2 linked regions of the Xenopus tropicalis genome follow. The protein of the gene in region 1 purifies or fractionates together with the protein of each later gene. This does not show direct contact. Links are inferred from orthologs where the notes say so. Each region holds a gene or a part of one and is shown on either strand. Other genes may lie near its edges.

Region 1 (7,027 bases):
TTGGCTTAAAGCCACAGCCAAATAAATGACATATTTCAACGGTCTTATTGTAAACAAACCCTAAGGCCCTGACATTAAGCAAATCCTGTTACAGAAAATCTCTAGTATGAGAAATCTTCGTAAGCAAAAAAAGGCGAGTCTGGCGAAACAAATACAAACACACGCTGGAAAAAAAAAGGGCTCCTAGAGTTTCAGCGGCGGAATGAATGGAAGCCATTGTGGCACTGCTGGATAAACAGGTGCAGCCTTTGAGCGGAGATGAAAAGATAAACAGGCAGTTTGATCGCTTATTGTTCCCTCACTTGTGTCCTTGCACTGCTCACAATCAGGCCCAGAGAGGAGCTTTGTGCAGGGGAAATCAGAAGTGGTAACTACAGGCACAATAGTGATAAACGTGTAAGAAGCGGTGTCGGTCCGGCAATGTAAACAAATGCAAAACTGCATCAGCTCAGTGCTTTACTGCATTTATATAGAGTTTCAGCTCAGCCCTCATTCTTGTTTTATCTACCTGCAAAACTGTATGCGATTGACTAAAGCTGGTCATACACTGTAAGATCCACCTGTTGGCAAGGTCGCCAAGTGAGCGGATCTTCTCCAGATATGCCCACCTACGGGCCCCGATCCGACGTAAAAATTAAACCTGCCCGATCGAGAACTATCTGATTTCAGGCCAGATGTCAGTCGGTGAGGCCCGTCGTTAGTGCCCATACACGGCCAGATAAGCTGCCCAATATGTCTAAAGGACCAATATCGGCAGCTAGAATTGGGGCGACCTCCTTGCCCCATGCTCCTGCACAAGGCTGACCCTGTTCACCTTTCAAATAGCACCCCAGCAGCCAAAACGCTATTGCTCTGTGAGGCTACAGTTTTATTGTTACTTATTTTATTATTCTCTTCAGGCCTCTTATATTCATATTCCACTCTCTCATTCAAACCACTGCCACTAGGGTAAATAAGACCCTAGCAATCAGATAGCTTAACTAAAACACTAAAGGTGGCCATACACGGGCCAATTGTAGCTGCCAATATCGGTCCCTTGGACCCATTCGGCAGTTTATCGGCCCGTGTAGGGGCAGGAACGACAGATATTTGCCCTGAGGCAGGTTAAAAGATTTAGTTGGACCGATTGCCCCATTGCTGCCATTATAATTTGATCGTTTGGCCCCAGGGCCAAATGATCGAATTAGCCTACATTTTCCCCGATATCGCCCACCCGTAGGTGGGGATATAGGGAGAAGATCCTCTCGCTTGGCGACCTTGCCAAGCGAGCGGATCTTCATGTGTATGGGAACCTTAAGGGTGAAGACACATAGGTCTACTAGTAGCAGCTACTTGTCACGGCTACTAAAATAGACAATGTTGATTATTTACTGATAATTGTTTCTATGTGTGTTTTAGCAGAGGAAATCTTCAGTACTGTCTATGGCGTTTTGTAGCCGTGACAAGTAGCTGCTACTAAGTAGCTCTGTGTGTCTTCACCCTCAACAGAGGAGCTGCTGAATAAAAAAACTGGAAAAAAATGAAGACCAACTGCAATTGTCTCAGAGTATCACTTTTTACATCATACTAAAAGGTCAATGGCACCATGCTGGAACGTTTATACAAGTACTGCTGCCATCTTGCCCTACTACCACCAATCTTGCCCTACGCTTACCATCTTGCTCTAGTGGTGCTACCTTGCCCGACCATGCCCATCCTGCTGTGCTATAATGTACATATTATGCCCATTTTTCCAACCTACCTCTGTAGTTCAGCTGGGTCCCTTTACTGTCCAGAGTTCTTATTTGAACCCCCTAGAGAGGGCTCTGTGCAGACTGTGCTGGGAGCCAGCAGTGCAAACTGGCTTATATTGGTGAATATGGGTGCTTCCCATCCCTAGGGCAGTGACACCCCCATTCCCCAGGATCTGCTCAGCTACAGGTTTGGTCCTGCCTGTCAATTGATCCCATACAATGACTCTTTATACAGGCGCCAGTGCTAATAAAAAGCAGAAAAACAAAATGCAGGTAATTACACGATGCTGCAGTTCTGCATGCCAGGATCTGAATGGGACTCGGTGAGAACCTCTTTAGCGGAACAGAGGAGGGTACCACTTATCATTGCTTTTATAGGCAATACATTCATTTGTATCTAAACTACAGCTCCCAGCATCCTCTTAAACAAAACTGATTGTAGTAAGTTGCTCTACTAAAGCCTCATAGATCCGGTGTCCTTACATGCTATTATGATGACAATTACCCACAAGTGAGGATAAACGAGCCATTTATATTTTATATTCTCTATGGGGGTTTTTGAACTATTGCACCAATCATTGTCCAACTACAGCCCCCCCATCATTCCTTGGGAGTTGTAGCTGAACTGCAGCTGATTGGATCAATGGCCTGAAACCCTAGAATAGAGTTATTACAGGTATAGGACCCATTATCCAGAATGCTCAGGACCAAGGGCATTCCGGATAAGGGATCTTTCCGTAATTTGGATCTCCACACCTTAAGTCTACTAAAAAATCAATAAAACATTAATTAAACCCAATAGGAATGTTTTGCATCCAATAAGGATTATTTCTATCTTAGTTTGGATCAAGTACAGGTACTGTTTTATTTCTACATAGAAAAAGGAAATCAGTTTTAAAATTCTGAATTATTTGATTAAAATGGAGTCTATGGGAGATGGGCTTTCCGTAATTCGGAGCTTTCTGGATAACGGGTTTCCGGATAAGGGGTCCGATACCTGTATAATAAAAAATCATAACTAAATTCACTCCTATTGAGAGGCTGCTAACAGTGCCAGATGTGCGCCACAAATCATTCTGGGGCCCCCCTTAAAAAAGGTAGTTCATCCTTTTAGTATGATTTAGAGAGTGCTATTCTGAAACAATTTGCAATTGGTCTTCATTTTTTTTTATTTGCAGTGTTTGAATTATTTTGCTTTTTGTTCAGCAGCTCTCTAGTTTAAAACGTCAGCAGCTATTTTGTTGCTGGGGTCCAGTTTAGCCTAGCAACCAGGAATATGGATAGAGGAGGGCTTAACTAGAAATTAGTAATCAGTAATAAAAAGTGACAATAAAATTGCAGCCTCAAAGAGCAAGGGTTATTTAGCTGCTGGGGTCAGTGACCCCCCACTTTGAAAGCCAGAAAGAGTCAGAAGAGGAAGGCAATTCAAGAGCTATAAACAATAAAGACCTATTGAAAAAGAATAGGCAATTCGTTTACCTGAAGGTGACCCACCCCTTAACTTTAATGCCCCACTGGGACCCCTATATCTCCAGGGTGCCTCAGGTTCTTACTCTGTAGTAATGTCCCTGATTTCTGTGAAGTGCATCAGCCCCCATACAGTATAATGGGACAGGAATCATAATGTTATATATGAAATATATGATATTAGCAGCACAATAAACCTGACAAGTTCCTTTTTTCATTTTTACAGAAAAATGTCCCTTTTTCTCCCCCCGCTGAGATTTCTTTTAGCACTTCCTCCTGTGCAGAGAGTGCTATGGCAGCATCCAGGCACTGTATGTATATATATATATATATATATATATATATATATATATATATAATTAGTGAGGAGAGATAGAGCGCTACAGGGAGCAGCTCTGCATTGCCCTGGGGGTAAATAGAGGGAGTGAAAGTGACTTCAGCCCTTGCGACCTGTGACCCAAGCGCTGTACTAACACAGAACTGAATGGAACCCGCATTCAATCAGATTGCAACATACAAGATGTTCCACCAAATGCATTTATAACGTTACACAATAATAGTTATGGTTTTACAAATTTCCCCTGCACTTCCATAGCCGCTGAAGGCTTTCAGGGAGTGATGAGAGTTGCAGTACAAATGCACAGAGCTGCACTCTATATGCAATACCTGGCCAACCCCGCACATGGCTACAGCCATTGAACAATTCTTATTATTAACATTTATTTATAAAGCGCCAACATACCCCGCAGCGCTGTACAATAAGTGGGTTTCATACATTGGACATACAGAGTAACATATAAAGCAACCAATAACCGATACAAGAGGGGAAGAGAGTCCTGCCCAAAAGAGCTTACACTCTACAAGGAGTAACATATAAAGCAACCAATAACCGATACAAGAGGTGAAGAGAGCCCTGCCCAAAAGAGCTTACAATCTACACAATTATAAAATCCATTTATGGATGGAAAAAGGAAAAACTTTTTTTTTTTAAATCCCCCCCACCTCCCAACCCAAGCACCCCTCTAGGGAGACTTACCTTACGGGGGGCTTGTATTGCCTTGTGCTGAGTAGCCGTTACCCCGGCTCGGCAAGGGATCTCACACTCTCAGGGCACAGATTAGGGGAGCAGCCATCAGCGCCTGTGTGTTCCAGCGCAGCACAGTCAGTTCTGCCTGGGGAGCCGGGGCCCCACCTACCTGTGAGTCAGACACCTCTCCACTGGGTGACAGCAGGCAGCACACAATCACATACACAGGGAAACCACATTAACCTTTGCAGTGCTCCCTTCCCCCCCCCCCCGTTCCATTGGCTGAATTGAATGCTTTGCTGGCAATTTCAAGGAAAGGGTTAAATAGCAAGTGTATATATAAACACAAGGCAACAGGTGAGCTTAACCCTACCTGTGCCAACCCCTGCCTGTGCCAACCCCTGCTGGGTTATAAAGGCCCTGTGCCTGAGGTGCTGAGCAGCCCCCTGTATTACAAAACATACACTAATGGCATTAAATCTGAGGGTGATTAGTACATAGCCCTAGGCAGGGTGTGACCGGACATAATGACGTTAATAGTTAGCTAGAGCCGGAGGGCTGAATAGGAATCTGTGCACTTGTTGATCCCATGGAAAAGCAAGCAGGGTGGGAACTGCGACAGGAGCATTATAAAGGCACCCAACGGGAGCAGTATAAAGGTGCCCAACGGGAGCAGTATATAGGTGCCCAACGGGAGCAGTATATAGGTGCCCAACGGGAGCAGTATAAAGGTGCCCAACGGGAGCAGTATATAGGTGCCCAACGGGAGCAGTATATAGGTGCCCAACGGGAGCAGTATAAAGGTGCCCAACGGGAGCAGTATATAGGTGCCCAACGGGAGCAGTATAAAGGTGCCCAACGGGAGCAGTATATAGGTGCCCAATGGGAGCAGTATATAGGTGCCCAACGGGAGCAGTATATAGGTGCCCAACGGGAGCAGTATATAGGTGCCCAACGGGAGCAGTATAAAGGTGCCCAACGGGAGCAGTATATAGGTGCCCAACGGGAGCAGTATAAAGGTGCCCAACGGGAGCAGTATATAGGTGCCCAACGGGAGCAGTATATAGGTGCCCAACGGGAGCATTATAAAGGTGCCCAACGGGAGCAGTATATAGGTGCCCAACGGGAGCAGTATAAAGGTGCCCAACGGGAGCATTATAAAGGTGCCCAACGGGAGCAGTATATAGGTGCCCAACGGGAGCATTATAAAGGTGCCCAACGGGAGCAGTATAAAGGTGCCCAACGGGAGCAGTATATAGGTGCCCAACGGGAGCATTATAAAGGTGCCCAACGGGAGCAGTATAAAGGTGCCCAACGGGAGCAGTATATAGGTGCCCAAAGGGAGCATTATAAAGGTGCCCAATGGGAGCAGTATATAGGTGCCCAAAGGGAGCATTATAAAGGTGCCCAATGGGAGCAGTATAAAGGTGCCCAACGGGAGCAGTATATAGGTGCCCAAAGGGAGCATTATAAAGGTGCCCAACGGGAGCAGTATATAGGTGCCCAAAGGGAGCATTATAAAGGTGCCCAATGGGAGCAGTATAAAGGTGCCCAACGGGAGCAGTATATAGGTGCCCAAAGGGAGCATTATAAAGGTGCCCAATGGGAGCAGTATAAAGGTGCCCAACGGGAGCAGTATATAGGTGCCCAAAGGGAGCATTATAAAGGTGCCCAATGGGAGCAGTATAAAGGTGCCCAACGGGAGCAGTATAAAGGTGCCCAACGGGAGCAGTATATAGGTGCCCAACGGGAGCAGTATAAAGGTGCCCAACGGGAGCATTATAAAGGTGCCCAACGGGAGCATTATAAAGGTGCCCAACGGTAGCATTATAAAGGCGCCCAACAGGAGCATTATAAAGGTGCCCAACGGGAGCATTATAAAGGTGCCCAACGGGAGCATTATAAAGGTGCCCAACAGAAGCATTATAAAGGTGCCCAACGGGAGCATTATAAAGGTGCCCAAGGGTTGGTACCGGTGCCTATTCTGGGAGAAGCAAGGGGAATACATGCAGGCAGTGCCCAGGGCAGATACAAACAGGCTGCCCTCCTCCCTAAGCACCGCTGCTCCACACCCTTTCTCCTCGCAGGGGTAAAGTTCAGCTGTGCCTAATGCCTGAGTACTTGGGCACAGCCTGGAGTCTCTGGGGCCAGGGTTACTGTCTCTTTCTCTCTAATGACTGCTCCAATTAGATTATGGGCAGGAGGTTTCTGTCTCGGGGGAATAAAGTGCATTTTCCATGCAGAAACCATAAGCAGCTCAGTACCGGCTTGGGCGGATGAAGGTCACCTGAACGCGACTATGATTTTATTTTCCACAGCCTCCTCAGGGCCAGTATAAGGGTAGTGGAAACTTCATGTGGTTAGTGATGGGGGGGAAGGACAGGTACAAGCACAAAGCTTTAGGTTGCACATTTTATGTATCCCCCCCCCCCATGGGGTCCTCAGCCTCCCTGCATTGCTAGGGACCCCCCATCTCCCATAGCGGCAACCGTAAGTCTCCTAAAAGAGAGAAGAAATACAAGCGATTTCCTAAAACCTGTAACATATCATGCCCGGAGCAATGTCGCTGCTTCCTATTTCCATTGCAGTCATTTCAACCCACGGGGCAGTGACACAAATACACAGAGCGAGTGAGGTTTATTTAACTCCTGCAGTAAGGGAGGTGCAGCCGGAGGGGTTCTATCTATACCTTTGGAATCACCTGTTGCATAAGGTTTCCAACCTGCTCATCCATATATTATATAGTGAATAAAGTACCCCCTATTGTATAATATAGGGATATTATAAGTCCTAGCTGGAC
Region 2 (6,927 bases), on another chromosome or scaffold:
TGTTTTGAGATGTTCTTTCTTTAAATAAAAATGTTTTAACTGCACCACTTCTTGACTATTTGGTCCAGTTTTCTTTAGTGCCAGCCTCATGTTTTTTCATTTTTGAGGTATTTTGTTGTGGAGGATCATGTGGACTACATTGAGGAACAAAAGTATTTGAACACCCTGCAATTTTGCAAGTTCTCCAACTTAGAAATCATGGAGGGGTCTAAAATTCAAATTGTAGGTGCATTCCCACTGTGAGAGACAGCATTTAAAAAAAAAAATTCAGGAAATCACATTGTATGATTTTTAAAGAATCTATTTGTATTGCACTGTTGCACATAAGTATTTGAACACCTGGCAATCAGCAAGAATTTTGGCTCTCAAAGACCTGTTACTGTGCCTTTAAATAGTCCACCTCTCCTCCACTCATTAAACTAAATTAGTAGCACCTGTCTGAGCTCTTTAAAGACACCTGTCCACCCCACAGTCAGTCAGACTCCAACTACTACCATAGGGCAAGACCAAAGAGCCGTAAAAAGACACCAGAGACAAAATTGTGGGCCTCCACAAGGCTGGAAAGGGCTATGGGGCAATTGCCAAGCAGCTTGGTGAAAATAGATCAACTGTTGGAGCAATTGTTAGAAAATGGAAGAGGCTAAAGATGACTGTCAGTCTCCCTAGCACTGGGGCTCCATGCAAGATCTCACCTCGTGGGGTATCACTGATGATAAGAGAGGTGAGAAATCAGCCCAGAACTACAAGGGAGGCACTGGTCAATGACATGAAGAGAGCTGGGACCACAGTTTCAAAGGTCGCTGGTCAACTTTCCAAGCAGGCTGACTTTGCTATTCAATCCCAACTTAACTTTTCATAATTTTCCCCCTAATTAATAAGGTAACTTCTAATTATGATTTCTGTGAATGTCTTTGTATCACTTTACTTCCCAGGCCAGACCTTAAGTATAATCAATCTTAAAGGACATGTAAAGCCTACATTTACCTACAATGTATATCAGTTGGGCACGTCTCCCCCACCCAAATTGCATCATTTGTACTGCATATATCCCCTCCGCTTGTAAGCACCATCACATTTTCCTAAAGCAAATAGCAGCTTTCACCCGGTGACCCAGATACATTTAAATCTGCAAACAGCATACACACACACAAACCCTTATTCAGCATACATTTCATCAAAAATACAGGCTCACACAGGCACAACTGTCTTTGATAAAAGTTCTGCTTTGTTTGAGCACTGTAATAGTAAAGCTGAGCTCAGGAGGAACTCGGGAGGAGGAGAAGGAAATCTAAGTGATTAAGGGGATGTTGCAGCCTTACTATTAACCACTGGACAACCAGTGTGGCAGGTATTGAAAGATTTCGAAGAGGCTATTCACTGGTTAAATTTTTGTGTGTAGGGTTTACATGTCCTTTAAAAGAAGATTGACAGATATTTGTTGTGGGCTCTAGAATTTGTCTGCTCTGACAGCAATTTGGTTGCTGCCTATATGGTAAGTCACATCACCCACCTTCTAGAGTCTGATATAATTTCAAATGGTCATTCTGCATATGCTAATGGCTAGTTGTGGATTTTGTGCTGAACATTGTTTTTCATGAATAAAATAAGCAAAACGTAAGTTTTTGTTATTTCTAAAGTTAAACAGGAGAAACAAGGAAACTGAAGATTACCAGTACTCAGATAATTCCCGTGAACTTCAGTTTAGACCAAAACAGTCACAAGTGCACAATATGCCTCTTGTATCGGTTACTGATTGCTTTATATGTTACTCTGTATGTCCAATGTATGTAACCCACATATTGTACAGCGCTGCGGAATATGTTGGCGCTTTATAAATAAATGTTAATGTAATGTAATGTAATATGCCAAAGGTACTCTAACCATCGTGATACAGGACCAGGTACAGGAGGTACCCACAGCACTATTTATCAGTCCAGTTAACCATTCAGAAACATTCCTGAAATTCCATAATTCACTACATGACACAAGTAAAGCTGCTACCTATACTGCTACAAGGAAACAGTAGCAGTGTAGCAGAAAAGCTCAAAGATTACAGAAAAGTTTTGCTTTAAAACCTCTAATTGCTGTCTAAGCAAACTGGATAATGAAATTATTAAATACATAGGGGCATGGTACCCAGAAGGTTGTATTTTTTTTAATTTCTGGTAGACATTGATATTAATAAAGGTTGAACTACAACACTTTGGCAAGAGCAATGTTACCCCTAAAAGAAAACACTTTCTGCAGATAAACTCCTAATTGCTCATTTTTTACAGATGCAAATTAATGCACTGCATATTATAGCAAAATCAATCCTACCTTATCAATCATTTTAGAAGGGTCAGTCTCCTCTTGATTAAGCAAATCCCATTTATTAGCATATCTCACTTTGTCACCTTGGTCATCAACATGCCTTTTATTACAATCAGAAACAGAGGGGATTTCCAATTCATCACCTATGACTCGTTTTTTGTTTGGTCGATGTCCAAGACTTCCAGAGCTTCTTAATAACACATTTTGTGATAACATTAATGGTGCACAGGGTTCTTCTGATTTTTGTTTCAACAACAATTTTGCATGCTGTGTGCTGTGGATCACTCTGTGAGAAGATGTACCAGACTGTGAACCTATTGTTAATAGTTTGTGGTCAGTTGAAGCAGCTTTTACCTTTTCAATTCTTGACTGTGGTATAGGATAAGGTGCTTCTGGACCAGCAGCACCTGCATTCTGTGTAAAAGAATATGAACGCCTCTTTCTAGGATGGTCATCATCAAAAAATTCTATCATAAAAGCAGTTTGACTTGTTTCTTGGTGTTTTCCTGAAGAATGGAATTTTATGTTTAACTTTGTTTGTTCAAGATTTCTTGGTCTTAAATGTTCATCTAAGTTCGTACACTTATTGAAACGTTTGTGAGCCCCACTATTTTCATAATCGCTTTGTGTTCCATCATCGTGTGTGTGCCCTATTTAGGAAAAACCAGAGGAAAAATGAATAAGACACATTGTGAATAGAACACTGATATTAATATTTGGGGAAAAAGAACAAGAATATTAAAATACCAAAATGAAGCAGGTTTTAAATATATATACATTTTTACTTTTACCCACACATGGCTCAACTTACAAGCTGCAATTAGAAGCAGATTCTTGGTAGTTTGTTTCTTTAGGTTTTATTTCAGGTTTATTACGATTTACAGGTTACAGATTTATGGGTTTGCTATTTTCTGCTAGGGTTTCAGTAAATATCTTGTTATGGCATGATCCAGTTGTTTATTGTCCTTATCATGAGTTTCCAGCTTTTCCAGATGATCTTGTATACTGACCAGCGAGTCCAGAGTTCTATTTGTCCTTTGCTGCCTAAACACTTATTCTAAACTTCTCCTTTGCTCTCCCCAAACACACTCAGCAGCTCTAAAAGTTCCCATATACTGACAGATATTGACTCCCAAGTCAGCAGTGTATCAAGCCAGCTTAAATTTCTGAAATATTGTATTTCCCATTTGGTTTTGTCTAATGAATATATTAAGAGCCGAATGTATATTGATCTTACTTAAGCCTTATTTTCAGAAGCTTCTGTTGCAGTATTACTGGCTAATTTCACAGCTAAAGCCTTGAATATAACAGTTATTATTATTATTACAAAATTCCTTCCATGGGTTACTCCTCCACAAGGCCAGTATGGTCTAGCAGTCCAGGGGCAATGGGCTACAGCAATGGGTGATAAGCCAGATAAAAAAAGAAAAGAGCTGCAAATTGCACTCACTACTGAAGTACAAACTCAGTAGCTCCTGTAGAGGGATATCTAAAGCTGTGCCAGCACATTTATACCCCTAAAGTACCTGTGCCCAGGCCCGGATTTGTGATGAGGCCACAAAGGCCCGGGCCTAGGATGGCAGAAATTTAGGAGCGGCATGCTGCCCAGCCACAATGGCACCCTATTTAGAAGTCCGGCCCTGCCTGTGCCAGCAAGCAAGTAATAATGTTCCCTGCCATATGAACAAGCAGCTGACAGCAGCACAGAGAATGTAGTGAATAAGCAGAAAAGAAGATGGGGAGCTACTGAAGGGCATCTTTGAAGGCACAGATCTTCACTGCTAAATGGCTGTGGTTGCCTAGGGCTTGTTTAAAAGCCATAAATATAATTTACAACATTTTGCCCTACTTCTTTTGTTAAGATCCAGTTCTCATTTAAAGACAATGAGGACAAATAGCTATTCATTCTGCTTTGTTTCTTATTATGGTGTAGTGTATAGTAACTATTTAGATGCTACATCTGTCAAATTTTTATGCCAGTGGGTTGTGTTGTCAACTCTAATAATAATTCTGGCAGGATCTGAACTGAGTCCAAAAATTTGCGAAAGGACATGAGATCAATGTTATCAAATTTACTCTTGTCGTGAGTTTTAGCATTTATTATTTAAGCCATTTATGTATCTTTTTGGCTTTATTTTCTAAGATCAAGGTTAAAGTCAGTGTAAATTTTGTGTGGCTTGTTGTTGTCTCAACTTGCCAAGTAGGTGAAGGTGTCTTTGGCCAGCTTTAATTGGTATAATTTGGCCCATGCAGGTTTATGTGTTTTGTAAGACAAGGCTATGGCTCTTAAAGTCAAAGATTTGTCCAAAGTCAGAAATTGTTTGTTTTGTTTGTAAAACAGAGGGTAATAAGTGTTTGGATATGGAAAGCAGAATATCACCTTTAAATGCTATTTCACTGTCATTTATTTATTTTTTTAAAGGTTTTTGTAAGAATTTACATTATGACAAATAAATTGGGCCACAAAGCTGCTCACTGTATAGTTCTTATGCTAATACACTGGGAGTGTTTTCTCTTGTTTGTAGAATATAATGATATAAATGAAATATTAAGGTTGTGCCTCAACCAAACACTTTTGTTTCTTCAAACTCATGTGTGCTATTAGGCAGTTGGGCATTCTGAATAACTGATTCATGCTAGAATGAACTTGTGAAACAAGAAAAATGAGGAAGAATATGCTAGGCTGAGGAACTGTTAAAAATAAATATTTGTACAAAATTACACTACAGTAGTTTTTGTTTAAACAAGAACCATATGACATGCAATGGTGTGTACAATTTTAATTGTTCTTATTTAGTACACTCTGAAGATAATGAACTGGTGCATGTTTAAATCAGACATAATTCAAAACACTATACAAATATCAGTATATGATCTACCTGCAGAATTCAAGGGTCCGGGGATTTTCCAGAAGGGGATTTTTCTGTAATTTATTTTTACCTTAAGTCTGTTAAAAATTTTTTAAAAATGGCGAGGCCCGTTTAATAACATTCGGATTTTCATGTTTTTTATTCAAATTTTTTTAAACTAAACTCAAATTTAAATGAAAAAAAAAAATAAACTCAAACATCATTTTCATGAATGCCATTTATCAAAAGATTAGAATTGAAAAAGCACAAAAGGTAAAAAAAGTCACTAAAAAATGTGACTTTTTTGTACTGTCATACAAAAGCCAGCACAAAAAAACCCTGTAAAGTTTAAAAATAATGAAGCAAAAAAAGATCTGTAACTGCCACTGACTTTTTGCATTAAAAATTGTCACAGCTTTGTTGCATAATAAATCACTACAAAACTAAAAAAAAAAATAGAACCAAATAAAATTAAACTTTAGTAAAAGCCCCAGTTGACGTGGTGAGCCGATGAAAGATTTTCTGTTGATGATTATAACTTGAAGTGCTCCGAAAACACAGGGATTTCCTTACCGTCTTTTCTGACATAAAATATATAAAACAATATAAACTATTGGTGTTTAGTATATTACCTTTCAGTCTCTTCAGGTAAACTGGAACATCACTTTTAATACTCTTGGTATCTTCCTCAGGCACTTCTTTTCTCAAACATGGTGGATTGTTTTGTGCCAACCAATCTGCAACTTTACTTTCTGCAGCCAACATCTCTGTTTGTAATGCAGAGAGATCCTTGGCGCAAGATGGTGATGTTTTCTTTGATTTCTGTCGATAATCTGGAGTGAATTTTGTAACGTGATCCTTAATAGTTACTTTACCTGGAGAGTTCTCATCAAACTCTATTGTAAATGATGCATGTCCTGCACCTAGTGCATGAGAGCAATGTGTGTCCTTCGTTGGGATTTCATGGATAATGTTCTCTTCAACATCAGATTTTTGTGGAGATTCTTTTGTCGGTATCTCAAAGTAACTTGGCTCCCTACAAAGCAGAAATAATGTTTCCTCTTTCCCTGCTGTGCCCTCATCTCTATCTTTCTTAGTATCCTTGTTGTAGCCTGCAAATAAAATCAGTTAGACCACTTTAGACCTAAGATTTAACTGGACAATCAGTAATAACAGTGACTCAAGACCTGTATTTATATATACACAGGTATAGGATCTATAATTCTGACATGCTTGAGGCATGGGTCTTTCTGTAATTTGGATACACATAACTTAAGTTTACTGAAAATAAATAAACATTTAATAATCCCGATACAGATTCATGCAGCTTACTCAGAATCAAGGTACGTGATTAATCAAGCCAATGTGCGGACACTTTGTCATATACACATACATACACAACACATTTTGTGGGTACTTTCATGGTAAAACATTTTTTTTTTCAAAATGCATCCGTTAATAGAGATTCTCCAGCAGAACCCTGCATTAAAAACTGTTTTTTAAAAATGCAAATGGATTTCTTTTATATTAAATTCTAAAATTTTATATTGACCTAACCATATTCTTCATTTCCCAGGTACCACAACCATGTGACCTGTGCTCTGATAAACTTTAGTCACACTTTACTGCTGAGCTTAAATCTGGAGTGGTATCACTCCCCCTCCCTTAAGGGGGCTATACACCACTACGGGTGGGCAATATCGGGTGAATTTAGGCTAATTCGGTCATTTGGCCCTGGGGCCAAATGATCGAATTAGAATGCTAG

What was found. Proteins that work in one complex are often made in the same cells at the same time.
Region 2: the proteins of ccdc68 (region 1) and cep170 purify together in Homo sapiens (co-immunoprecipitation; 3 studies listed by BioGRID and IntAct, counting the BioPlex papers as one, with this or other methods). This does not show direct contact. The link is inferred for Xenopus tropicalis from reciprocal best matches to the Homo sapiens genes CCDC68 and CEP170.

What each region holds. Positions count from the first base shown.
Region 1 is NC_030677.2:203,220,642-203,227,668, reverse strand, and holds the start of ccdc68 (coiled-coil domain-containing protein 68), read right to left. Parts: upstream 4,486-7,027; 5' UTR 4,237-4,485; intron 1-4,236. UniProt on the Homo sapiens protein: Centriolar protein required for centriole subdistal appendage assembly and microtubule anchoring in interphase cells. Together with CCDC120, cooperate with subdistal appendage components ODF2, NIN and CEP170 for hierarchical subdistal appendage assembly.
Region 2 is NC_030681.2:57,385,470-57,392,396, reverse strand, and holds part of cep170 (centrosomal protein of 170 kDa), read right to left. Parts: intron 6,275-6,927; coding exon 5,795-6,274; intron 2,964-5,794; coding exon 2,320-2,963; intron 1-2,319.